Linked DNA regions of Xenopus tropicalis. The main gene of each other region encodes a partner of the protein of the gene in region 2 in a complex. Links are inferred from orthologs where the notes say so. Each region holds a gene or a part of one and is shown on either strand. Other genes may lie near its edges. The genes, in order: trpm3, gnb1, kctd12, kctd5, ffar2, chrm2 and gna13.

Region 1 (3,562 bases), on a different chromosome or scaffold from region 2:
GGGCAAACTTAGTGCCATTTATTACATAACCCCCTAAATGTTTTGTCTAATCATTTTTATTTGTGTGTCTTTCCACAGATGGCCTATATGGGCTACCTCATGTTGTTCAACTACATTGTTCTAGTTAAAATGGACCGCTGGCCATCAATGCAGGAATGGATTGTCATCTCATATATTTTCACTCTGGGAATAGAAAAAATGCGTGAGGTAAAACTGATTCAAACATTTATTACCAATTATTACCAAAATAACCATAAGTTAATAAGATGCAGGCAGTTAAAACTACAGGTATGGAATCCATATATAACAGAGTATATGTAAAGTGTTCCAACCATACAAAAATAACTGTTGTATGGACACTTTATCATCCAGCTATCTGAACTAATAACTGCAGATAAGTTAAACATAAACACATGCTCTTGTTAATAACTAATAGAATTTTGCTGTAATAGCCAGATAGAATATAAAAACACAGGTGCAACTTTGCACTGGTGTTGAAACCCATAGCAACCAATTAACCATTTGGTTTATGACCCATGAATGGTTGTTAAAGGTTACTCCACCATTTCAAGCAAAATGCATATATCTTCATAAACTGACCAGTTGGATCATTGCAATATTGGTCCAGCTGTTTACTACCTAACCTGTTGTAGAGCAGGCTGATCCTATTGTGTCCTGAAACATGTCCTCAAAGTTAATTCTGTATTATACCAGTTATAAAGCTCACTTTATATAATGATTTTTATTACATCATTATTATATAATTACTTTATATATTATAGAATTACACTATATAAGGCACCCAAATGTGTGCTCCATCCATATTCAGTATACAGCAAAAGACAAGAGCACTTTCCTACTGCTGCAGAACTCTTCTATGAAAAATATATAGTAGTCAGAGATTTAAAGAAAAGAACCACAGTAGCCACTAGAGGACACTGTAATATTAAAAATAAAAAGGTTGTATGTGCTTTGGTTTTTGGTGAGCATCTAATACTGCAAATACAATATTTTACCACTGCAAAAAGTTACTCTTTTGCAATTTTATCTGTACTATTGTGTGTTATTTGACTGGCGCAAACAAATAATGTCAGTCAACCAAATTAATAATGAAAATCTGTTAGTACATATTACCTGTAGTCACATATCTAGGGTTTGTATATATTTCACTGGATATTCAGAGAGCAGTAATAAAAGCACAGAACATTATCTATAGTACATTATGTGGATCTCAATCCACAATTCTTTTAATGCTTGTCTGGGAATATTGAAAAAAAACACATTATTACATTATTATTTTACAGTGAAAATGAATGACTGATGATTCTGCAATTTCTAAAAATGAATTTTGAGAATGACACTAAATATAGAAACATCTAATTCTAGCATTCCTGTCTAGCAGATATTGTAACAGAATAATATTGATGCGAATTCCTGAGCTAAAGTTTCAAATATTGAAGTGAGGGTGGAATAATGCAAAGTAAGCATCTCTTGCTAGAGCCTGGCCTCTTATATCTACAGATAATACAATAGCTATCATTTTTAAATAATTTACTGATGTAAAATGAGGTTAAATAATCATACTGAGGACAAACTGTCTTTGTCTGACAGTAAGGAATAAAAGAAGATGTACATTTCTCTGTTTCAGAGTCCTGAATGCTGGCCATGCTTTAAAATCAACACCTCCCTTGTTGGGCAGATAAAGTTACATTTATCCTGGAAGGTCTGCCTTGTCAGGGCTGATGTCATTACTGTGTGCTAGTTATATATTAATTCAACACACAGAGGGAATATCTGTATCAGGTGTATGTCTGACCAGTGTAAATTGAAATCTCACCCCTCTGAGACACATGCTAGGGCCCTGCTATGGCCAAGACTTGATATGCCAGTCTTAGAGGGGGGGGTTGTCTCTATGTTGTATTACATATATATATACTGAGTAACTTCTTACTTTTTTACATTGGGTGGAGAAATGTTTAAGAAGTAAAGCACTTGATTAGACCCATCAGAATAATTGTTGATGCCTTCAGTGACTTCTGGAGCTGTAGAAATTAGGCACTTGAACCTTATGGGCAGCATGCAGCAGCAGCGCCAAAGCTCAGTACAGATATGGAATCCATTATCCAGAAACCTATTATACAGAAAGCTCTGAATTACATGAAAGCCATCTCTCATAGGCTCAATTTGAATCAAATAATTTCATTTTTTAATTGTTTTTCTTTTTGTCTGTAATAATAAAACAGTGTCTTGTACTTGATCCCAACTATATTTATAATTGGGCTATAATTAATCTTTGTTGAAGGCAAAACAATCCAGTTGTTTTTATTTAATGTTTAAATGATTTTTTAGTAGAATGTAATCCTTATCTGGAAAGCCCTAAGTCCCAAGCATTCTGGACAACTGGTCTCATAACTGTACAGGTATAGGATCAGTTATCCAGAAACCAGTTATTCAGAAAGTTCTGAATTACGGAAGGGCCATCTCCCATAGATTCCATTGTAACAAATGATTCCAATTTTTAGAAATTATTTCCTTTTTCTCTGTAATAATAAAACAGCACCTTGTACTTGATCCCAACTTACATTTAATTAATCCTTATTGGATGGAAAACAATCCTATTGGGTGTATTTAATGATGTTTAAATGAATTTTGAGTAGACGTAAAGCATGGAGATCCAAACTACGGAAAGTTCCCTTATCCAGAAGACCCCAGGTCCCAAGCATTCTGGATAACAGATCCCATACATGTACTTGTAATGACAGTTCTTACACCATAAAGGGAGTGCTTATTTTGGGCCCATATTACAATATGGTGTAAAACATCCCTTGTTTATTAATATAAGATGACAAAAGTGGCTTTTTGATTTGTGAAGTTCATTTTAGGATTGCTAAATTACAGCATGGAAAAAACAGAATTACGGCATGTTTGGTTTGCAAGGGAGCTTGGGCCAAGTACTTTATGTAATACTGCTTTGTGTTCATACAGATCTTGATGTCCGAGCCAGGAAAGCTGTTACAAAAGTTTAAAGTATGGCTGCAAGAATACTGGAATTTAGCAGACCTCGTCTCCATCCTGCTCTTTTCTATTGGGATGGTACTCCGCTTGCAAGAGCAACCCTTTAGCAGCTATGGGAGAGTGATATATTGTGTGAACATTATCTACTGGTATATTCGCTTGCTTGATATCTTTGGTGTAAACAAATACCTTGGACCATATGTTATGATGATCGGAAAAATGGTGAGAAATCTTCTGTTTATTATATGATGCACATATATGTATAAATCTTGCTTTGCAATTTTATTTTTAAATACTAGTTCCAAACTCTACGCAGACACCATTGTATAGTAATCAGTGAGAGAAAATTCAATAAGACTAACTTGTGCTGATGCTTTTCCGTTTTCTGTCAATATTAATAATATCAAGAGACCAAATGTAGGAAGGAAACCTGACTCACAGGCTGTGTTGGGCCCCACCCTGCAGCTGAAAAAAAATTACCAAATACAGCACCTTCCACTGAAAATACAGGCTAAAGACAAACTATACAATTATTTTAGTGCTACAC
Region 2 (3,562 bases):
AACAATGCAGAGATTAAAAGGTGTGAACAACACAGGGGATTACATATTTAAACAATACAACCTGATTACAGCCTGAATCTGAGGTGGGAACCATGCAGGGGGGGCAGTTAATCTCAGTACTGATACCACTTAGAGCTTACACAAGAGTAAGCCATCAAAGCAGCCAGACAGGTGGGGGGCCACACAGAGGGGGGTCGCGGGCCGCATGCGGCCCGCGGGCCGCCAATTGGACAGCACTGCTTTAAGGCATCCAAGGGGGGGCAGGCCTAGGTAGGACTGCTTAGCCTAATGGCAATTAGCAGGTAAATATTGGTTGAATGCGGTCTTGCATATTTCTTGAAGCCCAATCCGCAGGCTGATTATGATGAAACTTGTGACATTTGCTGTCCTTTGCTGTATTTCACTAGTGAGAAGACTAATGTGACATTTTTTTATGCATTTTCAACCAAACATTTTACAAAGGGGCTTGGGCCAAAATTTGTCCAAGAACATTAAGGCCTTTATCACTCTACACAGATGTCTTGTTCTCCCTGCACTGAGAGGCAGATACAGCTGCAGAATGTCTGTATTGGTCCTTTATGGCAGGGGTCCCCAACCACTGGGCCGGGGACCGGTGCCGGGCCGTGCTGAACTGGGCCACCTCTGGTCCCAATTACCTGTGATCCCAACTCCATGACAACTGCTATGTGAAGCCCAGGAAGCTTTCTACTGATCACAAAAAGGACCAAAGTACTTAAAGCTATATATTAAGTGTCAGAGGATGTCCCCACTTGGGTGGGAGTAAGCAGAGCAGAGGGGCTGGGTGCATCTAGTTGCTGATTTTGTATTATGATGAGCTGTATTATACCCACCACCCCTGGTCCTCAGAAAAATTGTCTTGCTTGAAACCGGTCCCTGGTGCAAAAAAGGTTGGATACCACTGCTTTATGGCAATCATATACAGATTTACAGGATTGTCAGATCAGTTGTTTGGTCCTGCTCCTTGATTGCTCTGAGACTCTGGATCCTTTCACATAACACAATCCATTTTTACCTCATTTTGATTCCATAGTCTTAAAAGACTAATCCCTTTCTCGTAAAAATCACAAGCTTAGCAGTGATTCCACCATATGTACTGCTGTTATGATGTGTATCATTAATGAATTGTGTTTTTATACTTATTTGGGTTTAATAAAGACATTATTTGTCCTGTGAGCAACACATCTGAAACCTTAAACACAGTATGATGTGATAGCAGCAGGTATTGGGCAAAACTTAGATTATTGGTATTAATATGTTACAGCATAAGGGGTCTATTTGTCCCAGATGTAAATACAAAAGATGTTGTGATAACATCTTAAGATGTTAATACAAAAGATGTACCCTTGTTGGTAGCAGAACAGTCCTGTTGTGTTTTTTTTTTAATACTTAAATTACTTTTTAAGTATGGTGATCCAAATTGCAGAAAGCCTCCTTTTCCGGAAAACCAAATTTCCCAAGCATTCTCGATAACTGGTCCCATATCTGTACTACTTTTTGACTTTGGACACCATCGTCCATTAATGGCCATAAGCTTATAAATGCTAATATTGATAGATAGCAACTATAATTAACTTTAAACATTACACATCTTTTGTATATCTGTTTAATGTGAGATGCTAATTCAGACTGGATCACTCCACAAAATGGTAGTTTGTTAAATAAAAAGTCCACCTTTCAGATTAATTTATAGTATTAGTAAATTATACACGGACTTTATTACCATTATTATGTTTATACCAAAGTCCTTGGATGTTGTATGGTTTTAATTCAAGCTGTTTTAATCATCCGTTTTTCTACAGGGTATCTTTCCTGCTGCCGTTTTCTGGATGATAACCAAATAATTACCAGTTCTGGAGATACCACTTGGTGAGTTTATTGATCCCCTCAGTTTGTTTATAGTCTCTAAAGAAAGCTACTGTACTGCTGTCAGCATAGTATTTCCCTGTACTGTGAAAGTATTATAAAATATCCCTTAAAGCAGTAGGAAAGATATAGTCACTGGGGCCAAATGTTAGCCACTCCCAGTGATTGTAATCGCTTACCTGATACCTCAGGCCAGTGCTCCTGTCAGCTAACATTTTGGCACCCCCCCAGTGATCATACCTTTCTGTCTCCTTTAATAGCAGAAATAGGCTTCTGTTCATAATTAGGATTTATGTTCTATACAAACTTTTCACAATTTAGAGAGATGGGGGGGGCTAATTTGTCAGTGTATGAAGAATGACTTGGCCTAGCTGCCTGTTTAGCATCAGAGAAGCTTCCATCTTTTCTTTTATATTTATATAATATATATATATAGTGTGTGTGTATATATATAATATGTGTTTCTGTGCCTTTTGATGCTTTGAGCTCATCTGTCTCTTTCTGAACAGTGCCCTTTGGGACATTGAAACTGGCCAGCAGACAACAACCTTTACTGGACACACTGGGGATGTTATGAGCCTGTCCTTAGCTCCAGATTCCAGGTGCTTCGTGTCTGGAGCCTGTGATGCATCTGCCAAACTTTGGGACATTCGAGAAGGAATGTGTAGACAAACCTTCACTGGACATGAGTCGGACATAAATGCCATCTGTGTAAGTCTATGTGACCACCTGTTTCTATCCAAACTTGTCTTATCCATATGACTGCCAAAAGGTTTGCCATGTTAAGGGCACGTTGGGTAAAGTATGGCTACGCAACACTCTTTTCATGTAGCATAAATTTAAAGTGCATCTATCGACTCCCATATTGTTTCCCCCTCCAGAGGTTGGGCTAATAGAGCCTGCACGCCAGTTGGGTAAAACGATAGTTTTACCCAACTGGTGTTTTAACCCCGGCCTGGAGCGAGCTCCCGGTGCAGGCGACCATGTTTGGCTTGCATGCGTATATTGAGCAAATCTCACCGCTCACTCATTTATACACATGCCCCTGGCATGGGAGCGTTGGATGCAACTCACCCTCCTACATCATGCATGCACATAATGAACGAGTTGTGGCACTCGCTTATTATGCGCATGTGTTACAATATGGCTGCCTGCACCAGAAGCTCCCTCCTGGTGGGGGTAGCCTAGCACTGGCAGGGGGCATTTGAATAAAAAAAAATCAACACTGCGGGTAACTATCCAAAATAATTAAACAACAAATTAGGCTACATATACTACACTTTATATTGTGGGTTTCTGTACCAGACCAAAGCCACTACCTCCCTTTAGCAGATGAAAGGAAAACTAAAGCTTAACTAAAGAAGTAGGCTAGAAATGTAGTACCAGCCCAAGGCAACCACAGCCTTCTGCTGATTCACTGCACAATCTCTGTGTTGTTACTGAGCTTAGGGAACCAGTCACAATGAACTGTATATATAGAATATAAATGTCACAATATAAGGCTGATAAGTAATCAATACAAATAATTGCTGCTTGGCAGCTCAGAAACCAATGCAATTAGCATCAGAATTTAATAATCAGCTCCCAAGCGTCTTCCCCCCTATGACAGACAAACCTCATTTTCTGCTTGATAATTTGCTAAGAACCCCAAGCTTAGATTTTCAACAGCTGCCCAAAG
Region 3 (4,262 bases), on a different chromosome or scaffold from region 2:
AGATATGCCCTAACAACCTATACAAGTGAACAGAGAGTTGTTTGATTTATTTGATAAATATTCCTCTATATACACGAAGTTTGCAAGTTCTTCCCATGCTTGTATCAGTTTCTTCTGGGTATTCTAGTTAATATTGGCCATAATATTGGCCATAGTCAGTGTTGGACTGGCCCACCAGGATACCAGGAAAACTCCCAGTGGGCCCAGGTATCAGTGAGCCCTTTTGCTTCTAACTATTTAGCCTATTTCATAGTCATTCCTTATTTCTGTATGGTGACAAGGAAGCTTGCAAGATGGAAGAATAGAGTATAGTATGTAGAGAAAAAAGAGTAGGATAATAAAGAGTTTGAGGGAGGAGAGGAAGAATAAAAGTTCTGAGAGTGGGCCCACGGTCCAGGGTTTTATGGTGGGCCCCTGCCACTTCAGTCCAACACTGGCCATAGTGTGTGTATGAGAATGTGACAAAACCTTAGCCTGTAAATTCCTCTTTACCTGAAAAAGTTACCCTTTTACCCTATGTATCTGAATGAAAAGACATACACAAATAATGTATGTTATGATGATATTATAGCATATTTTACTTTTTTTTTTTGGAAGAACAAAATAAGAGAAAAAGAAAAATAATGTGTTCTCATACTAATATGGACATTTTAGACTGTAATGCTAACATAATGCATATATATATACAATATATATATATATAGTCAGCTATCTTTTATTAACATCTTTTTACAGCTGTTATGGGCAGTGCTCAGTATATTCTGTATTCAGCCATGCTGCATAAACCCTATTATTTGTAGATAAGAATGCAGTCATAAACCTTAAAGGATTTACTTACTGCTGACTTAATATATAACTAAATAAGATGAGGTTCAGCTTTTATCACTTAGCTATCGGAACAATTCTTTTTAAAACTATATTTCTATACTATTCTTTTTCTGCTGCTACTTAATGTGTGTGTCATATTTGTTGGCAATGTATTTTTTGTGCCTGCTATACAAAGGAAGGTATCAGATATACTATAGAGCTCTTTAGAGACTTGGACTGTGCCTTTATTCCATGAATGTCAGTCTCACATGTTATAATTACCCTTTCCAGCAAACATATTCTTACAAGACTGTGCATTAAGATAGATGAGTGGAAGCTGCTGACTACTTGACTGAATGAATGCTAATGTTACTTTTTATGCCTTGAAATAATAACTGTTTATGAGAAGGAAGAAGCAAGTTGCAGAGCTGTGCAGGTTTTATTTGAGTGGATAACAGCAGGGATCCAGCTGCAAAGCTTGCAAATACAGTACTGCACACATCCCCTTTTTGTATGTGTATGTGATCAGCTGTCTCTGGGCTTTCTCTCTTCGTTCCCCTCCTCCCTCCCACGCCTCTAGTGTACATTTCCACATAAAAACACAGACCCTGCCATCTCTCTCAATCAGAAACACAAGGAGAAGCGGAGGAAGGAAGCAGACTAGTCGGCTCTTCTGTGTATCTTGGCTGCACATGCACAGCCCTAGCTGAAACTGTGCTTTGCTCGAGAACAGGTTTTTATGCTTCTTTTTTTTCCAAGTGTTTTTACCCTTTTCATTTTTTTTGTTTTAGAAGGGGTATATTAATATTTTCCTTCTCCTAGTCTTCATGGCTTTACCTGATACTGCACGTGGATTACCAAATGGTGGAGGTGGCGGTGGAGGTTGTACAGAAAACAAAACTTCTGATCCTCTGTTCCCAGAGATTGTGGAACTAAATGTTGGGGGACAAGTTTATGTGACCCGTCACACTACTCTTGTATCAGTACCTGATTCCCTGCTATGGCGAATGTTTTCTCAGCAGAAACCAGGAGAACTGGCCCGGGACAGTAAAGGCCGTTTTTTCTTAGACCGGGATGGTTTCTTATTTCGTTATGTGCTGGATTACCTACGAGACCTGCAGCTGGTCCTACCTGACTACTTTCCTGAGAGAAGCCGTTTACAGAGAGAAGCAGAGCACTTTCAGCTACCTGAACTGGTGAAGCGTTTAAATCCTCTGCGAGTCAGTAAAGAGAGCTCTATTGGGGGTGAAGAACCACCTTTACTTCTAACCCCTGCAGCTATACACGATCCTGACTCAGACACAGCTGTTATCCCTGCCTCAACATCTCCAGCAGCTGGGGTTCCATCCCCAACATTAGATCCATATCGATTCAATGCCTCCTCGTCCTGCAGCCCAGCCTCAGTTCCACGCCTCACACCTTCTCAGTCTTTGGAAGGAAGAAGAAATGGGTACATAACAGTTGGCTATAGGGGGTCTTATACTATAGGACGGGAGGCTCAAGCAGATGCCAAGTTTCGGAGGGTAGCTCGCATCACAGTCTGTGGCAAAACTTCCTTGGCCAAGGAAGTTTTTGGAGAGACATTAAATGAGAGTCGAGATCCTGATAGGCCACCTGAGAGGTACACTTCCAGGTATTACCTCAAGTTCAACTTCCTGGAACAAGCCTTTGACAAGCTGTCTGAAGCTGGCTTCCACATGGTGGCATGTAGTTCCACTGGAACATGTGCCTTTGCCAGCAATGACCAGAGTGAGGATAAAGTCTGGACAAGCTACACCGAGTATGTCTTCTGCAGGGACTAAAACATTGTCATAGACTGAGAAATGGAAAGAAAAAGTGTCACACCTATTTAATCTCCTGATCCCAAAAAGAAGGTATTTCTTCCTCATATAAAGACAACAGCAAAAGTGAACTGCAATATTGTCATTTTTAATTCCTACATGTAGGTTTCTTATGAACAGAGAGAACATTTGGTAACTGTATAATGCAACAGATTGCAACAGCTCTGGCTTAGGTATGTTTCTAATACTCTGTGTTATACCACCCCTGCTATAGAACTTTGCCATTCCTTTATTAATGTTGTTTACCTGCTACTAAACAGCTTTTACCAACTTCCTTTTAGTAATGGACTGTGCATTCGACGCCAAATAACCCATGTGATCAGATTATTTTTCAGTTATGGGAAGTATACAAAAAATGCTACTGCTTAACATCATTTAAAATGTTTTTGACTGATATGCAGAAACACATATTTCTTTACCAATATACCCTCAAGCATAAATATATATACTTTACTGTAGGTACAAATTAAAATGAGAAGGGTAAAAGAACATTTCAGGTTATCTTTGTATCCCCTGTTATGCTCAGTCTCTTTTAAAATGTACTTTTTATTTGATACTATTCAAGGCAAATCAGCTAGCAAGATGATCTTTATGTTATATGGTCATTTTAACAGTGGTTTCTGCTTCTTACAGAAAGGAAATTAATTAAATCTTAATTCAAGCTTTTTATTCTTCCTAAAGAACAAAAACATTTTTACGGCTTCTGTTTGGCAAGACACTGCCTTCCTTTCATTTTAATGTTTTGGTTGTGGTTCATTATGATGAATTCATACATCAGCATATTTTTGAGAGCCCCACAGATGAGAACTGTGCAACCACAGAGTTCATTGGAAGTGCTGTAAATAGGCTTGATGTGTATCATGCCGAGTGTATAATGTGGAGCTGGTTAGAGCTGGCTCCTGTTTCAATAATAGATAATAACATATTTCCTCTTCTACTGCATTTTTTATGCTCTATTCATCTGAAAGTAATTAGAACATAATTAAAAAGGGTAAGGGAAATTGTGGAGAACACCATCCAGCAATACTATTTGCATAAACCCCCCAAAAACAAATAGCACTATGATAATATGGTGAAATATACCAAACTAGATATTTCTCTCTGATGAACAAAATGCTATTTTTTTGCATTAGCTTTGCCATGGTTAAGGTCCTAAGGGAACCTGGTAACAGCAGGAAGCCAATGTTGTCCTGTCACAATATATTGCCATATAGTGTGTGTGTGACTTCTCCTGATTTACAATACTCTTTTCATACAGTATGACAGGAGACTAGTCACAATTAATAAGAGATGTGGGAAATATTAATAGCATTAGACAGAAGATTGATTTTCTTTAAATGTGTATTTATTTGACCTTAACTGAAATGACCTACTGTTTGAGTAGAATGTATGCCCAGGAGCAGCACAGTTAACATCTCTAATGCTCACATGACATCTGTAACGTACAAGCTGTATCTCTAGTTTAATGCCTAAAGCCAGGCCTTGGTTACACTTTGTCATAAGCACTGAAATAATCAATAGTCTGTGTTGTCTGAAAACAAATAGAGTTTGTAAACATTCATTGTCATCATTCACCAGTATCCTATATTTCCTGGCACATAAACATTAAATAAA
Region 4 (4,098 bases), on a different chromosome or scaffold from region 2:
CATGGAGCTACTAGTAGGCACTACTTTTTCACGGCTACTAAGTGCTCTGGCACACGGGGAGATTAGTCGCCCGCGACAAATCTCCCTTGTCTTGGAGCGACTAATCTTCCGAACTATCATCCCACCGGCGAACATGTAAGTCGCTGGTGGGATGGTATACGCTGCGCAGGCGATTTCGGCAAATTGACGAAGTTGCCTCGCGAGGCATTTTCGACGATTTGCCGAAATCGCGCCGCCGCGTGTGCCATCGCCGGTGGGATGGCAACTCGGGGAGATTAGTTGCCCGCGAACAGGGAGATTTGTCGCGGGCGACTAATCTCCCCGTGTGCCAGAGCCCTAAAAGCCATAAAATACCCTGCCATAGACAATACTCAGAATTGCCTCTGCTAAAACACATGTAGAGACAATTATCAGTAATGATATAGTAGCCATGACAAGTAGCTGCTACTAGTAGCTCTATGTGTCTTCACCCTTAGCAAACATTAAGTTATCAGGGTTTCCAAGCAAACTACACAAAAAGGCTGCCCCTATCCTCTCAAGAGCTGCACCTAGGATTACCTACACCACAGTCCTTAGTAAAAGATGCTGCCAAACACCCCTTTAAAACACAACAGCTACTCATGAACACCACTGTCCTGCTCTTATTTAACCAACTGCCTCGGACCACACTTAACCCAGCTACCTTTCCACTTTGTCCCAGAATGTCACTGTCAAACCCCCCTGCTGCTCCGCAATCACCACATGTACAAAGTCACAATGGCCCGGTCTAATAGTTTCCAATATGGCCAGTCTACAGGCAAAACCATGATACAACTTTGTCTGCACTTTCCTGGGAAATTGTATTAAAGGGATGGTTCACATTTACATTAACTCAGTATGTTACAGAATGGCCAATTCTAAGCAAATTTTCAATCTGTCTTCATTTTTTTTTTTTATAGTTTTTGAACTATTTGCCTTCTTCTAACTCTTTGCCCCTTTCAAACAGGGATCACTGACCCCCACAGCCAAAATATGATTGCTATGTGAGGCTATAGTTTTATCGCTACTGTTTATTACTTATTTTTCTATTCAGGTCTTCTCCTATTCATATTAATTAATTTGGATTCTAGCACCCAAATAGCTGCTGAAACTCTGAACAAAAACTGAAATAATTATAAAACGACAAATAAAAAATGATGACCAATTTCAAATTATCTCAGAATATTACCCTGATATACATAATACTAAAAGTTAACTCAAAAGTGAAAAGTAATGGTCAGTATCACACTCCAGATATGCTCTACTTGTTCAGTGCTGATGGGAAGAAAAGATGATTCCTAATGGCAGAACATTTTCAGCCAGTCCTGTGTGGCCTACTACCTCTCTTTAGCTTTGTGTTACCCACTGAACTTCTTCACTGCTCCTTTCAAACCTATTCACCATTGCTTTCAACCCTGTACTGCCGACTACCCTTACACTATTGCAGCCGCATTTTGCTCACTACCTCTCCAAGTAACTCCATTTGCTTAGATGCATTCACTCCCCCACACCCCTCTGTTTATCCAAACTCAATCACCCTTCTGCTCCACTAATCCCCGCTCACTTACAGACCCTTCTGCTCCACTAATCCCCGCTCACTTACAGACCCTTCTGCTTCACTAATCCCCGCTCACTTACAGACCCTTCTGCTCCACTAATCCCTGCTCACTTACAGACCCATCCATTCCACTAAGCCCTGCTTACTCACTGCCCCTTCAGATCACTAAGCTCTGCAAAATTACAGCTCGTCCTCTTCACAAAGACTTCCTTACTCACTGCCCCTCTAGACCACCAAGTCCCGCTCACCCACTTGTTCATCTACCTTACAAGCCCCACTCACATTACTGCCCCTCCGCTCCACTAAGCCCCACTCCCGTTACTGCCCCTCCGCTCCACTAAGCCCCACTCCCGTTACTGCCCCTCCGCTCCACTAAGCCCCACTCCCGTTACTGCCCCTCCGCTCCACTAAGCCCCACTCCCGTTACTGCCCCTCCGCTCCACTAAGCCCCACTCCCGTTACTGCCCCTCCGCTCCACTAAGCCCCACTCACGTTACTGCCCCTCCGCTCCACTAAGCCCCACTCACGTTACTGCCCCTCCGCTCCACTAAGCCCCACTCACGTTACTGCCCCTCCGCTCCACTAAGCCCCACTCACGTTACTGCCCCTCCGCTCCACTAAGCCCCACTCACATTACTGCCCCTCCGCTCCACTAAGCCCCACTCACATTACTGCCCCTCCGCTCCACTAAGCCCCACTCACATTACTGCCCCTCCGCTCCACTAAGCCCCACTCCCGTTACTGCCCCTCCGCTCCACTAAGCCCCACTCACATTACTGCCCCTCCGCTCCACTAAGCCCCACTCACATTACTGCCCCTCCGCTCCACTAAGCCCCACTCACATTACTGCCCCTCCGCTCCACTAAGCCCCACTCACATTACTGCCCCTCCGCTCCACTAAGCCCCACTCACATTACTGCCCCTCCGCTCCACTAAGCCCCACTCACATTACTGCCCCCCCCTGGCTCCCCCAATAGCGGCCCCACACAAGCCCCCAGGCCCTGCGCCCATAAGCCACCCACACATCAACTACAGACACTTTGTGCCCACTGCCCCTGAGTGTAGGTACCTTATCCGAGTCCAGGTCGGGGTCTGCCTGGCACAGGCGGTACAGAAAGGATTTCGGGTCTCTGCACAGGGTTTGCCGCGTTGTCAGGAAGCAGGTCCCCCCCACGTTGAGCCGGACCCACTTGGACACTCCGGGAGCAGCGCACCTTCTACAGACCGGGATCCCACTCCCATTCACCTCGCAACTATTCCCTGCCATGGCCGTCACTATCCTGCCACTGACAGCCCCGGAAGTGTCCGCTCTTTAAAAACCTCCCCTCCTCCTTCTAATTGGGCGCTTGCGTCATGCTAAACGGAAGCGGAAGGTACGTGCCAGAAGAAGGGGGGCTATATAGTCCGAAACACCTGCTGTGTACGTTAGAGAGCAAATAATCACGTAGTTGGTGCAGTGACCCTCCCATATCCCAGTTAAAGAAGTTGTTTGCCTTCCTTTTAGTATGATGTAGATACAATTTGCAGTTAGTTTTCATTTTTAAAGTTTGTGTTTTTCTAAACGTATTAGCGTTTTGTTCAAGTAGCCCTCTGGTTTGGAATTATTTCAGCTGCTATCTGGTTGCCAAGGTCCTATTTAGCTTAGTAACCAAGCAGTGGTCTGAAAGAGACACAAAAATATACATTGAGAATTGAGAGGCTTAAATAGAAAGAAAGGTAATAAACATTATCAATAACAAAATTGTAGCTTCAAAGAGCAAAAGTTTAGTAACTGCTGCCTGGGGTCAGTGAAAGCTGGAAAGAGCCAGAAGAAAAAAGCTATCCAAAACAAAAACTAAGGACCAACTGAAAAGTTGCTAAGTATAGGCCATTCATGGGGCACATTCATGAAAACAAGAGTTCCAATCCCGAATGGGATAAATTCGGATTGGATCCGATAATTTGTTAAGATTGCAAATATCACGAAGATGCTTACGAAAAAATCACATTAGTCACGATAATATCGTATTGGCGATCCAAAAGTCACAAAATTTTCGTACCGAACGATCGTAAACGGCGGGAAACCTTTCTGACTTTGATCCTTCTTTGCATGATTTTGGAAGTCTCCCATAGGAATCAATGGCACTCTGCAGCTCCAACCCGGCCCAAGGAAAGTCTCCCATAGGGCTCAATGGCACTCTGCAGCTCCAACCTGGCCCAAGGAAAGTCTCCCATAGGACTCAATGGCACTCTGCAGCTCCAACCTGGCCCAAGGAAAGTCTCCCATAGGGCTCAATGGCACTCTGCAGCTCCAACCCGGCCCAAGGAAAGTCTCCCATAGGGCTCAATGGCACTCTGCACCTCCAACCCGGCCCAAGGAAAGTCTCCCATAGGGCTCAATGGCACTCTGCAGCTCCAACCTGGCCCAAGGAAAGTCTCCCATAGGGTTCAATGGCACTCTGCAGCTCCAACCTGGCCCAAGGAAAGTCTCCCATAGGGCTCAATGGCACTCTGCAGCTCCAACCTGGCCCAAGGAAAGTCTC
Region 5 (4,167 bases), about 31 Mb from region 2:
ACTCCTCCAGTTACATGGGAGTAGGAGAAACAATAGGTTAGCTGAAAGCAGTTCTAATGTGTAGCACTGGCTGAAAGCTCAGACTCAGGCACACTTTACTGCTGCGCTGCAAGTTCGAGCAATATCCCCCCCCCTCACCCCCAGCAGCCAATCAGCAGAACAATGGGAAGGGAGCAAGATAGCAGCTCCCAGTAGGTATCAGAATAGCACTCAATAGTAAGAAATCCAAGTCCGGCTTGGGACTCCTCCAGTTACATGGGAGTAGGAGAAACAATAGGTTAGCTGAAAGCAGTTCTAATGTGTAGCACTGGCTGAAAGCTCAGACTCAGGCACACTTTACTGCTGCGCTGCAAGTTCGAGCAATATCCCCCCCCCCCTCACCCCCAGCAGCCAATCAGCAGAACAATGGGAAGGGAACAAGATAGCAGCTCCCAGTAGGTATCACAATAGCACTCAATAGTAAGAAATCCAAGTCCGGCTTGGGACTCCTCCAATTACATGGGAGTAGGAGAAACAATAGGTTATCTGAAAGTAGTTCTAATGTGTAGTGCTGGCTCCTTCTGAAAGCTCAGACTCAGGCACACTTTACTGCTGTGCTGCAAGTTGGAGTGATATCCCCCCCTCACCCCCAGCAGCCGATCAGCAGAACAATGGGAAGGGAGCAAGATAGCAGCTCCCAGTAGGTATCAGAATAGCACTCAATAGTAAGAAATCCAAGTCCGGCTTGGGACTCCTCCAGTTACATGGGAGTAGGAGAAACAATAGGTTAGCTGAAAGCAGTTCTAATGTGTAGCGCTGGCTGAAAGCTCAGACTCAGGCACAAGGCACTGAGATGGCGCCTACACACCAATATTACAGCTACAAATACATTTGTTGGTCCAAAAATAAAATGTTCAATGGCAGAGGGAATTATTTGCTATGTAACAGTGTCATTTAGAAATAAAAAGCAGTAAGATGAAAGAATAACTTACAGAAATAAAACTGATCTATCTATGGTTGTTTCATTCGTTCATTTGTTAGAATTTAATATTGTTCTTGTTGTTATGGGACAGTCTCTAAAGCCATATATACACATTGTACTGTAAAATGTAAAATATCAGTAAAAATACTGATGGACAAAAAAAGCCTTATTGCTCTATTCTTGCTCAGTCTCATTGCTCAGTATTCCCCCCATTTGTTTATTTTGGATCTTTCTTGTGAAATCTGTGATATTCCTCTGCTGAGGTTCATGTGTTTCCTTTGGTCTCACCCCCCCTCCCTCCCTCTTCTGTATATTTGCAGTTTAATAGAGAGATTGCTGCGTCCGTTGGCTCATTTCTGCCTCTTGCAGAGGATGGGGAGACACGTGACTGGCTCTTGTGTAAGTTTGTTTAAGTGACAGGAGCCCAGCAGAGCGGAGGAGCAGACAGAGAGTGAAGTGCCGGAGCCGGAGCCAGATTCTAGCAGCCTCCTTAGGGCTCATGTCTTGCTCTTACACAGGGAACATGTGACCCAAACTCTTGCACCCTACAAGGCTTATTGGATAAAGGATATTTATCCCCTAATTACAGGTCATATTGGCCAAGAAGCATTATTAAGATATATACCCACCTAATACTTATACCTAATTACCACCCCAGGAGGAGCCATTTGGGATGCGGAGGCACCTGATTTTGCTCATTATTTTTGGACTTGATGTGGTGCCCTGGAATCTTTAAGAGGATTTGGATTTTCATTACCAGACTGAAGGCAAAGGTGATTATACACACTCCATGAAACTTTATACTTTATTGTATTTTGGAACCTTTTCTCTGTAATAATAAAACAGTACCTGTACTTGATCCCAACTAAGATATAATTACCCCTTATTGGGGGCAGAACAGACCTATTGGGTTTATTTAATGGTTAAATGATTCCCTTTTCTCTGTAATAATAAAACAGTACCTGTACTTGATCCCAACTAAGATATAATTACCCCTTATTGGGGGCAAAACAGCCCTATTGGGTTTATTTAATGGTTAAATGATTCCCTTTTCTCTGTAATAATAAAACAGTTCCTGTACTTGATCCCAACTAAGATATAATTACCCCTTATTGGGGGCAAAACAGCCCTATTGGGTTTATTTAATGGTTAAATGATTCCCTTTTCTCTGTAATAATAAAACTGTACCTGTACTTGATCCCAACTAAAATATAATTACCCCTTATTGGGGGCAGAACAGCCCTATTGGGTTTATTTAATGGTTAAATGATTCCCTTTTCTCTGTAATAATAAAACAGTACCTGTACTTGATCCCAACTAAGATATTATTTATCTTTATTGAAAGCAAAACAAACCTCTTCAGGGGCCCTCAACTGCCCTCTCACCCACCACTACCCCCTTCCCCCCATGTACCTTATATTTAACTGTAATCGGGGGACCGACCTTGGTTGCTTCAGTAATTGAGGTGCAGGACAGGTTTATGGGGACAAAAATAAATCTGATAGCAAAGCTTAGGGGTAGGGATACCTCTCTGCATCTGGACCAGTACTAATGGTATTGCTTATGCTCCAGCCAGGTAGGAAAGGTTCCCATGCCTAGGAACAGATCAGCAATAGAGATTTACAAGAACAGATAAAAGTAACATAGAAATTGAGGGAAAAAAAGACAGAAAGTGTGAGAAAACGGAAGAAATAAATAAAAATAAATGGGGAAGTAATAAGAAGTGATACAGAATATGAGAAAAGAAGCTGCAGAAATGAGACATATAGAAAGTAATAGCGATGGGACAGATATGGCGGTAAGTGGAACTTGGTCTCTGCTGTTTTGAGAACTTCAGTTGTAGTTTATGTGATTAAGATCTAACCTACCATTAGAATAATGATATCTCCTTATGTATAAGCATAAACTCCAATAAACTAGTGTTAGTAACACCAGGGATATGAACTGATTCTGCAAATCTGTGGTTATAAATAAATGTCGATGCTTCATTGACTCCCACCCCTTAATATACAAGCAACATGCCTCCATATCAATATATATGCAGAAAATATATGTTTTTAGTGGAGCAGTTTATAGAGTTTAAGCTCTACATGCAGGATTTGGGTGTATTTGCTTTCAAATACAGGCATAGGACCCGTTATCCAGAATGCTCGGGACCAAGGGTATTCCGGATAAGGAGTCTTTCCGTAATTTGGATCTCCATACCTTAAGTCTACTAAAAAATGAATAAAACATTATTTAAACCCAATAAGGGGTAATTATATCTTAGTTGGGATCAAGTACAGGTACTGTTTTATTATTAGAGAGAAAAGGGAATCATTTAACCATTAAATAAACCCAATAGGGCTGTTCTGCCCCAATAAGGGGTAATTATATCTTAGTTGGGATCAAGTACAGGTACTGTTTTATTATTACAGAGAAAAGGGAATCATTTAACCATGAAATAAACCCAATAGGGCTGTTCTGCCCCCAATAAGGGGTAATTATATCTTAGTTGGGATCAAGTACAGGTACTGTTTTATTATTACAGAGAAAAGGGAATCATTTAACCATGAAATAAACCCAATAGGGCTGTTCTGCCCCCAATAAGGGGTAATTATATCTTAGTTGGGATCAAGTACAGATACTGTTTTATTATTACAGAGAAAAGGGAATCATTTAAACATAGAAATAAACCCAATAGGGCTGTTCTGCCCCCAATAAGGGGTAATTATATCTTAGTTGGGATCAAGTACAGATACTGTTTTATTATTACAGAGAAAAGGGAATCATTTAAACATAGAAATAAACCCAATAGGGCTGTGTGAAATCTGGCACAAGAGACCCAATTCAAAAAGCCACCTCAGGATGTTCTATTTATAGCTAGAGATCTAAATATGGAAGGGAAACTCTTTGGGGGAAGTTATTTTTTCCTATAAAAAGGATCAACGCACCAGAGGTCACCCCTTTAGAATAGAGGAAAAGAACTTTCATTTGAAGCAGCGCAGGGGGTTCCTCACGGTGAGGGCAGTGAGATTGGGGAATGCACTTCCTAGTGATGTAGTGATGGCAGATTCTTTTAATGCCTTTAAAAGGGGCAATACCTTAAAACATAGTATCCAAGGCTATTGTAATATTAAAATCTACAGTTAGTATTAATGTTGGAATATATGGTTTATGTAAGTGAGTGTATAGATAGGGCAGTGTGGGTCTGTATGTGAGTGGAT
Region 6 (3,495 bases), on a different chromosome or scaffold from region 2:
TTGCAGTGGGGAAGACTAAAACCCACAGGACCCCAGGGTTGGACGGTTCTGGTCAGCATAACCACGTTTTTGAGCATTGTGGGAAGGTGGAGCCATCGTCACCCCAGTGAACCCAAGTCTTCCCTCTTTTCTTCTCCAACTTGCTATCTTTTATTAATATACTGCCAACATAGTGGGTTGGGTTTGGGTGGGAGAAGGTCGGTTACGCTCAGACACAAGTCAAATATTGTCGGCCAATGCATCACAACGCATCACAACTGTCAGGTTTCCTCTGTGGTTGGGACCCTTGATGGTTGTGTTGGCTTTTGCTGACTGCAAAAAAAGTTGGAACTTGTGGTGAAGATGGTACTTTAGGTAGATCATGGCCATGTTCTATTGGTTGTGGTCCTATACTAATTATATGGTAGGTCCAGGGTCAGAATGGGCTACCAGGCCACCGGGAAAAATCTGGTGGCCCAGACCCGACCCTTGCCGGCGCTCCCTCTGCCCAACTGTTCCTCCCAAGATGCGTTAAATTTACGTGCTCAGGGGAGGACGTTGGGTGGGGGACCCTGCAGGGGGTTAGGGGGGCACCAGGGGGGGGTGCGGTCAGGGGACGTAGCCGGCGGGGACACCTGCAGGGTGGGCCCTGCACCCTCCCCAGTCTAACCCTGGGTAGGTCCCACAGCCCAAGAGGCAGAGGTGGGCCATTCGGTATTAGCCAGGCCCTTGGGGGGTGGGGGGGTACACGGTTCTCCATGATTTATGATGGCAGCCTTCCCTGGGCATTGTGATCAAAAATATTAACAATATATTAACAATACAATCTGGAATAAAACATATAGAGCATGGATCAGCCTTACTGTCTACATCCCACTTAATGTTTAAGTTCAACTTTCCCTTTAAATGTCTCCAGACAGAAGAAACCCCCCCCCCATTCCAGCGTGTGTCGCCTCGTACTAAATAATATTATTGCATCTTTACTTTCCCTTTACGTCCCTGCGCTATTATCCAGCCTTTTCCTTTACGGATAGGGACACCTCCCATTCACCGCTATATCCGACTTCGAGTTTACATGTTTGCAAGACCATGTAGCGTTAATACATCTTATCGGTAATTACTGTAAAAAGAAAGAGAGGCTTCTGCATAAATAATCCCCTTTTCCCCATGAATTCAACACAGAACTCTGTACAGTGAATTGATTGGCTAGTTTGTATCCAGGAAGCTCTAATGTGGCCCCCGCGGGGCCCCCGATCGTGAGAGATATATTTTTGATAGACAAGTCACTGAAAACACTGAGGCACAGAAGAAACCAGTTTAAACGCTTAGGATAAATATTGGGAAAAAAAAAACCCCAAAAAAATTCTGCGTCAAACTTGGGACTTTGTGAGTCATGTCAACGTCATTTTTGTTCAATACTCTGCCACTCGGTTTCCTTGTAGACGTAACGACTCGTTAAAGTGTGAATATCGTAGTAATACAGACATGGAATTAACTGGGGAGCCAAGGAGCCCTTGAGAGTCCGTCAACGAAAGAGCACGAAGTTGTACCCAGGTTCGACTTCAATGGTTTCCAAGTTCTAAGTGCGGGTGGAGAAGACCCACCAGTCCCGGCGAGGTTCTTTGATTGCACATTCCGTTTATGAGTGTAAAGTGCTATGGCATTATATTAAAATGGCAGCTCGGAAGGTCTCCGTCTCCTCCACCTCCGAGTATTTTTTACCTAGCCGAGCCGATGTTTTTATACTGGCACATTAGGAGGTGCTTGAAAGTCTTCTTGAAGGTGGTATTGCAGAGGGCGTAGCAAGCAGGGTTGATGGTGCTGTTGATATAGCAAAGCCAGTAGCCGATAGTCCAAACGGTGTTGGGCACGCAGACGGCACAGAAGGTGTTAATTAAAACCATGACGTTGTACGGTGTCCAGGTGATAATGAACGCAAGCAGAATGGCCAAGATTGTCCTTGTGACTTTCTTTTCTCTGGAAGGTGGAAGCTTCTTCTTGGGAGGCTGTTTGGTCATCTTTACAATTTTGCGGGCAACTATGTTCTGCTTGTCTTCTCCGTTGCGTCCGTTGGCCCCTGGGACGATCTCCACGGTGGTGCCGGTGGCATTAGAACAATCGCCCTTCGGGGACTTTGTCACTATCCGTATGCACGTGAGCTTGGAGTTCTCCGTCTTTGGATTGGCTTGAGATCCCGAGGCCTGTGGGACGTCTTTGGCGGCACCTTCGTCCTTGGTGTTGACGACGCTGACCGACGTGGAGTCGTTGGAGATCTCTTTTTCTTCCCCTTCTGCCTGGACGCAGTTTTCGATGCCGGAGTTGCTCGTGACTTTGCCGTTCTGGATTTTCCCATGGTCCAACCCGTCTTCGTTGGCGGCCACGTTGTTGTTATTTGGTTTTACGATTTTCCCTTGGACATTACTAGGAGATATTGGGTCTTGATTGGGCGCTGCCTCTTTTTTGCCCTTCTTGATCCGGCTTTTGCTCGCTCTCGATATCTGCCAGTACAACACGGTCATGATAATGACGGGCAAGTAGAAGGCAGCGATAGCCGTGCCAAACGTGACCGCGGCATTGGAGAAGAACTGGATGTAGCACTCACCTTCTGGGACAGTTCTCCCTCCAACGATAAACTGCCAAAAAAGTATAGCAGGCGCCCATAGAATAAAAGATAGCACCCAAGCGGCGGCAATCATCATGCCTGCCATCTTGGTGGTGCGCCTCACTGGATAGGTTAGAGGTTTGGTGACACAGAAATACCTATCAAAGCTGATGATGAGAAGGTTCATGACTGAAGCATTGCTGACGACGTAATCCAAGGCCAACCATAGGTCGCACACAACAGGTCCTATCGGCCAGTACCCAATCACAGTGTAGAGAGTATAGAGGTTCATGGAGAAGACCCCGATGATCAAGTCAGCGCAGGCTAAGCTGAACAAAAAATAGTTGTTGACAGTCTGAAGGTGTCGGTTGACTTTTATGGAGACCATGACCAAGATGTTTCCAATGATGGTGACCAAGCTGAGGGATCCAGCCACAATCACAATGAAGACCACCTCTACCGTTTTGTAAGGGCTTCCCATCATGGTCTCATTGGTTGAGGACACGTTGACTAGGCTTGAGTTATTCATGATTGCAGATTAGACAGCTCCTCAATGACTCTCTAGAGACCATTTACACCTGGGGGAGAGAGGAAAAAGGAAACTCATTACCCACCAGAACGTCAACTGTAAGTAAGAACTAAAGGGGAACTTTACCCAAAGTCTGTATTTTTGCCTAATGAAAGAAAATGTTATTGTAATCAACATTAGTGATGAGCGAATTTTTTCGCCAGGCATGGATTCGCAGCGAATTTACGCATTTCGCCATTGGCGAATTGTTTCGCAAAACTTCTGTGAAAATTCAACGTGGAAAAATGCGTTGCGCACAATTTTTTTTGGTTGTGCATCAAATTGGGCGTGGTCATGTCAAAAAAGGCGCGGTCGCATCAAATTGGTATCGGGTGCGTCAAATCAG
Region 7 (4,110 bases), on a different chromosome or scaffold from region 2:
TTAGTGTCACTGAGGGGCCATTACTGTACGCTGTACTTACTAAAGGGGAAGATGAACCACTGATGACACCCCTCTGGGCTGCCCAGCTTTGGGGGTAACTTTGCAGTGGTAGCCAAGTTGATCATTTTGACACAATTGCCCCCTCCCCAAATTCCGCAAAATCTGCCCAAACCCCAGGGGTATCTACATCCCTCCCCCCATGGATCTAATTAATCCTTGCACAGGTTACCCAAAGGTCCCATTATAATTGCCCCCTTTGGTGTCACTTGGATGTCATTACCAACAAGCACATGTATGCCCCACTAGGGGTAACTAGAGAACACTGGGGCCCCATAATATGGACCCCCCCCCCCGGTACCTTGTAAACATACAGCAACTGTCACCCAGTCCCAGATAACTTCACACGTGATGTCAACGCCTTCAGTGCCACGTCCCACCCTGCCCCCTGGGGTATTAGTAAGGATGTTGTGACCCCCGGGGTGGCACCAATAGTGCTGCTGTGGGTAAGCACTTCCCCAATATAACCGTGCCCCTCTGAAAGGGTAAAATTTGACGATGTACAAACTATTACCCCCACTACTGGAACTGGGGTACCTTTATATAGCGCTCGCCACTCAAACCCCTGGGGTAACGGGGCTACTGATGCCCCTTAGCACAACCGCCCCCCAGGAACAAAATATAATGCTGCTGCAGATACTCCGCCAATCTAACTGTCCAACAAAGGGGTAGATTTTTGGATAAATGCCCTGGGGTATATTGGAAGACATTTCTGTAGATACCCCTAGCCCATACATATAGGTTTGTTTTAGTTGCCCTACATACCCCCCTAATCACTTCCCCAGGGTAATTAACACACTCCTGCACATAGGGGGTACACTGATGGGGCAGGTTTGGGTACCCCCAGTTTAAGTGCCACCCTTGTGTGTAGGTTTGCTATTGTTGCCCTACATACCCCCCTAATCACTTCCCCAGGGTAATTAACACACTCCTGCACATAGGGGGTACACTGATGGGGCAGGTTTAAGTAAACCCAGTTTAAGTGCCACCCATGTGGGTAGGTTTGCTATCGTTGCCCCTCATACCCCCCTAATCACTTCCCCGGGGTAATTAACACATTCCTGCACATGGGGGGGGGTACTCTGATGGGGCAGATTTAGTTACCCCCAGTTTAAGTGCCACCCCTGTGGGTGTTTGCTATAGTTGCCCTATATACCCCTAAAATCACTTCCCCGGGGTAATTAACACATTCCTGCACATACCCACCTCACATACGGGGGCAATCTGATGGGGCAGGTTTGCTATTGCTGCCCTACATACCCCCCTATTCACTTTCCCGGAGAAATTAACACATTCTGCATGCGGGGGGGGGGGGGGAGCAATTAGGTACCCCCAGTTTAAGTGCCACCCCTGTGTAGGTTTGCTATAGTTGCCCTACATACCCCCCCTAATCACTTCCCCAGGGTAATTAACTCATTCCTGCACATAGGGGGGCACTCTGCTGGGGCAGGTTTAGTTACCCCCAGTTTAAGTGCCACCCCCATGGGTAGGTTTGCTATAGTTGCCCTACATGGGGGTATGTAGGGCTAGTCACGTCCCCAGGGTAATTAACACATTCCTGCACATGGGGGGGTATCCTGCTGGGGCAGGTTTAGTTACCCCCAGTTCAAGTGCCCCCCATGTGGGTAGGTTTGCTATAATTGCCCTACATACCCCCCTAATCACTTCCCTGGGGTAATTAACCCATTCCTGCACATGGGGGGGGTATCCTGCTGGGGCAGGTTTAGTTACCCCCAGTTTAAGTGCCCCCCCTGTGCGTAGGTTTGCTATAGTTGCCCTACATACCCCCCTAATCACATCCCCGGGGTAATTAATCCATTCCTACACATGGGGGGGGGGGTATCCTGCTGGGGCAGGTTTAGTTACCCCCAGTTTAAGTGCCCCCCCTGTGGGTAGGCTTGCTATAATTGCCCTACATACCCCCCTAATCCCTTCCCCGGGGTAATTAACCCATTCCTACACATGGGGGGGTATCCTGCTGGGGCAGGTTTAGTTACCCCCAGTTTAAGTGCCCCCCCTGTGGGTAGGTTTGCTATAATTGCCCTACATACCCCCCTAATCCCTTCCCCGGGGTAATTAACCCATTCCTACACATGAGGGGGGGGGGGTATCCTGCTGGGGCAGGTTTAGTTACCCCCAGTGGGTAACTAGTGACACAATTGCCCCGGGCCGGGTACCTTTGATGACGTTGCTGTAGATGGTTGCCCGGAACTCCTCCTTGGCCCGCAGGTCGAAGTCCTGCCCGTGGATGATGCGCATCTGCTTGAGGAAGGTGGACTTGCCGCTCTCCCCGGCCCCCAGCAGCAGGATCTTCACCAGGCGCTTGACGTAGGTTTTCTCCCGGGAGAGGCAGCGATCGATCTCCTTGGACTTGCGCTGCTGCTCGGCCTCCCGGCTGGTGAGCACACAGTTGGGGAAGCACACGGACAGCACGGAGCGGGACGGCAGGAAGTCCGCCATCTTACACACACTCGCCCTGGCTCACTCCTGCCTCATCGGCGGCCCTGGGACGGGGGAGCGGTCCTGGCGGTGCGTGCGCGGGAGCGGCGCTGGGTGGGTACGTGCGCGCCCCCGACTCCTTTCGCTCTGAGTGGAAGGCGGGAACGCGCGGTTCCTTCCGTTCGCTAAGGCGCCGGTGTGTGAGGCAGAGAAAGCGGCTATCGTTTCTCTAGGGTTCCGCCGCGCTGGGAAACGTCTCGTCTACACCGAGCAACGCGGGAACTGGGGGCGCGGCCCGAACCCGGCAACACCATCCGCCATCTTGCAACTCTTCCTCACGTGATGCTTCCTTTGCCCTTCTACTGGCTAGCGCACCTCGTCATGTGATCCTCCTTCTGCAATTCTATTGGCTGCCAGACACTTCGCTCTCTAGACTTGCTCCATCTTGCTGAGGGGCTTCTGTTCTGTGGTGTCAATTGCCCCTCATTCTGTGGCAGGATACCCCTTCTGTAGGCTGCCTGAGAAATTACTCTCCCCTATAAAAGCCTCAGCTTACTGAAGAGATGAGAGGCCAAAGTAATACCTCTATATTTTATTATTATTTATATATAATATTCAGTTTGGTCATTTTGCCCTTCTACTTGCAGTCTGGCGGCTATCGCACCTCATCATGTGATTCTCCTTCTGCAATTCTATTGGCTGCCAGGAAGTTTGCTCTCTAGACTTGCTCCATCTTGCTGAGGGGCTTGTGTAGTGTCAAATGCCCCTCATTCTGTATATAGATGTATATATATATATATATATAAAGTGCCATGTGGTATGAGACACAGTAGGAAGGAGGTCCCTGCCCCGTAGCGCTTACAATCTAAGTAATTATATAACCCATTATTGTACTGCGCTATGGAATATGTTGGCGCTTTATAAATACATGTTATTAATAATGACTAGGGATGCAGCAAACCCACTTTTTTGGGTTCGGCCGAACCCCCAAACCCACCCCGACGGATTCTACTGAATCTCAAACCAAATCCGGGATTCGGCGCAGCCCTAATAATAACTGGTTATGTCCATGCAAGGGAATTTCATGTTAACCATTTGCACTCATTATTGCTAAGGGGGTTGGTACCGTAAAGGAGTTGCCCACCTTTGAGTTACTTTTAGTATGACGTAGAGAGTAACATTCTGAGACAATTTGCAATTGGTCTTCATTTTTTATTACTTGTAGATTTTTAATTATTTCAGGTTTTTTGTTCGGCAGCTTGCAGTTTCAGCAGCTATTTGGTTTCTAAGACTCAAATCACCTTAGCAACCAGGGAGTGGTTCGAATGAGAGACAGGTATATTAATAGGAGAGGGGCTGAAAAGAAGAATAAGTGATATAAAGTAACAATAACAATAAAACTGGAGCCTCACAGAGCAATAGGGTTTGGCTGCCGGGGTCAGTGACCCCCATTTGAAAGCTGCAAAGAGGCAGAGGAAAAAGGCAAATAATTCAAAAACAAAAAATGAAGACCAGTTGAAAAGTTGCTTAGAATTAGCAATTCTATAACATACTTAAAGGTGAACCACCCCTTTAAAGGAATATATAGCCAACCTTCTGTTTAATCATGGGGAC

The links.
Region 1: the proteins of gnb1 (region 2) and trpm3 are in contact, whole or in part, in a crystal structure (PDB 6RMV), measured with the Mus musculus proteins. The link is inferred for Xenopus tropicalis from reciprocal best matches to the Homo sapiens genes GNB1 and TRPM3. Residues at the interface, in NP_001153488.1 of Mus musculus: Lys57, Tyr59, Trp99, Val100, Met101, Leu117, Tyr145, Gly162, Asp186, Met188, Cys204, Asp228, Asn230, Asp246, Arg314, Trp332; in NP_001349418.1 of Mus musculus: Lys615, Arg616, Lys618, Ala619, Lys621, Leu622, Leu623, Gly624, Met625.
Region 3: the proteins of gnb1 (region 2) and kctd12 are in contact, whole or in part, in a crystal structure (PDB 6M8S), measured with the Homo sapiens proteins. The link is inferred for Xenopus tropicalis from reciprocal best matches to the Homo sapiens genes GNB1 and KCTD12. Residues at the interface, in NP_001269468.1 of Homo sapiens: Arg8, Glu12, Lys15, Arg19, Thr184, Asp186, Cys204, Asp205, Ser207, Thr221, Thr223, His225, Glu226, Ser227, Asp228; in NP_612453.1 of Homo sapiens: Lys246, Asp251, Leu253, Glu255, Ser256, Arg257, Asp258, Pro259, Asp260, Arg261, Pro262, Pro263, Arg265, Arg269.
Region 4: the proteins of gnb1 (region 2) and kctd5 are in contact, whole or in part, in a cryo-EM structure (PDB 8U7Z), measured with the Homo sapiens proteins. The link is inferred for Xenopus tropicalis from reciprocal best matches to the Homo sapiens genes GNB1 and KCTD5. Residues at the interface, in NP_001269468.1 of Homo sapiens: Arg52, Gly53, Leu55, Lys57, Tyr59, Gln75, Asp76, Gly77, Lys78, Thr87, Asn88, Lys89, Val90, Ala92, Pro94, Leu95, Arg96, Ser97, Ser98, Trp99, Met101, Leu117, Gly131, Asn132, Val133, Arg134, Val135, Thr143, Tyr145, Gly162; in NP_061865.1 of Homo sapiens: Val157, Arg159, Val160, Leu161, Gln162, Cys163, Gln164, Glu166, Glu167, Gln170, Met171, Thr174, Met175, Ser176, Asp177, Trp179, Ser190, Tyr191, Val205, Lys207, Leu209, Glu219, Ser221, Lys223, Ala224, Leu227, Gln228, Arg230, Gly231, Ser232.
Region 5: the proteins of gnb1 (region 2) and ffar2 are in contact, whole or in part, in a cryo-EM structure (PDB 9CM7), measured with the Homo sapiens proteins. The link is inferred for Xenopus tropicalis from reciprocal best matches to the Homo sapiens genes GNB1 and FFAR2. Residues at the interface, in NP_001269468.1 of Homo sapiens: Arg52, His54, Leu55, Asp312, Ser334, Phe335; in NP_001357016.1 of Homo sapiens: Arg37, Gln38, Pro39, Gln40.
Region 6: the proteins of gnb1 (region 2) and chrm2 are in contact, whole or in part, in a cryo-EM structure (PDB 7T96), measured with the Homo sapiens proteins. The link is inferred for Xenopus tropicalis from reciprocal best matches to the Homo sapiens genes GNB1 and CHRM2. Residues at the interface, in NP_001269468.1 of Homo sapiens: His54, Leu55, Asp312, Asp333, Ser334, Phe335; in NP_000730.1 of Homo sapiens: Val50, Asn51, Arg52, His453.
Region 7: the proteins of gnb1 (region 2) and gna13 are in contact, whole or in part, in a cryo-EM structure (PDB 8H8J), measured with the Homo sapiens proteins. The link is inferred for Xenopus tropicalis from reciprocal best matches to the Homo sapiens genes GNB1 and GNA13. Residues at the interface, in NP_001269468.1 of Homo sapiens: Gly53, Leu55, Lys57, Tyr59, Gln75, Asp76, Lys78, Ile80, Thr87, Asn88, Lys89, Val90, His91, Ala92, Ser98, Trp99, Met101, Leu117, Asp118, Asn119, Tyr145, Asp186, Met188, Asp228, Arg314, Trp332; in NP_006563.2 of Homo sapiens: Ser31, Ile34, Asp35, Leu38, Glu41, Lys42, Val45, Lys50, Gly205, Ile206, Glu208, Lys219, Val221, Lys231, Arg232, Trp233, Phe234, Glu235, Cys236, Phe237, Asp238, Ser239, Val240, Arg279.

What each region holds. Positions count from the first base shown.
Region 1 is NC_030677.2:129,964,146-129,967,707, reverse strand, and holds part of trpm3 (transient receptor potential cation channel subfamily M member 3), read left to right. Parts: intron 1-78; coding exon 79-207; intron 208-2,985; coding exon 2,986-3,237; intron 3,238-3,562. UniProt on the Homo sapiens protein: Constitutively active, non-selective divalent cation-conducting channel that is permeable to Ca(2+), Mn(2+), and Mg(2+), with a high permeability for Ca(2+).
Region 2 is NC_030683.2:91,943,747-91,947,308, forward strand, and holds part of gnb1 (guanine nucleotide-binding protein G(I)/G(S)/G(T) subunit beta-1), read left to right. Parts: intron 1-1,820; coding exon 1,821-1,887; intron 1,888-2,393; coding exon 2,394-2,595; intron 2,596-3,562. UniProt on the Homo sapiens protein: Guanine nucleotide-binding proteins (G proteins) are involved as a modulator or transducer in various transmembrane signaling systems.
Region 3 is NC_030678.2:126,319,903-126,324,164, forward strand, and holds the start of kctd12 (BTB/POZ domain-containing protein KCTD12), read left to right. Parts: upstream 1-1,443; 5' UTR 1,444-1,634; coding exon 1,635-2,609; 3' UTR 2,610-4,262. UniProt on the Homo sapiens protein: Auxiliary subunit of GABA-B receptors that determine the pharmacology and kinetics of the receptor response. Increases agonist potency and markedly alter the G-protein signaling of the receptors by accelerating onset and promoting desensitization.
Region 4 is NC_030685.2:28,840,774-28,844,871, forward strand, and holds the start of kctd5 (BTB/POZ domain-containing protein KCTD5), read right to left. Parts: upstream 2,849-4,098; 5' UTR 2,844-2,848; coding exon 2,646-2,843; intron 1-2,645. UniProt on the Homo sapiens protein: Its interaction with CUL3 suggests that it may act as a substrate adapter in some E3 ligase complex. Does not affect the function of Kv channel Kv2.1/KCNB1, Kv1.2/KCNA2, Kv4.2/KCND2 and Kv3.4/KCNC4.
Region 5 is NC_030683.2:122,767,845-122,772,011, reverse strand, and holds the start of ffar2 (free fatty acid receptor 2), read left to right. Parts: upstream 1-1,321; 5' UTR 1,322-1,734; intron 1,735-4,167. UniProt on the Homo sapiens protein: G protein-coupled receptor that is activated by a major product of dietary fiber digestion, the short chain fatty acids (SCFAs), and that plays a role in the regulation of whole-body energy homeostasis and in intestinal immunity.
Region 6 is NC_030679.2:6,147,919-6,151,413, forward strand, and holds the end of chrm2 (muscarinic acetylcholine receptor M2), read right to left. Parts: intron 3,160-3,495; 5' UTR 3,111-3,159; coding exon 1,698-3,110; 3' UTR 530-1,697; downstream 1-529. UniProt on the Homo sapiens protein: The muscarinic acetylcholine receptor mediates various cellular responses, including inhibition of adenylate cyclase, breakdown of phosphoinositides and modulation of potassium channels through the action of G proteins.
Region 7 is NC_030686.2:50,664,745-50,668,854, forward strand, and holds the start of gna13 (guanine nucleotide-binding protein subunit alpha-13), read right to left. Parts: upstream 2,803-4,110; 5' UTR 2,518-2,802; coding exon 2,235-2,517; intron 1-2,234. Other genes in the region: regulator of G-protein signaling 9, read left to right, coding at 3,060-3,072. UniProt on the Homo sapiens protein: Guanine nucleotide-binding proteins (G proteins) are involved as modulators or transducers in various transmembrane signaling systems.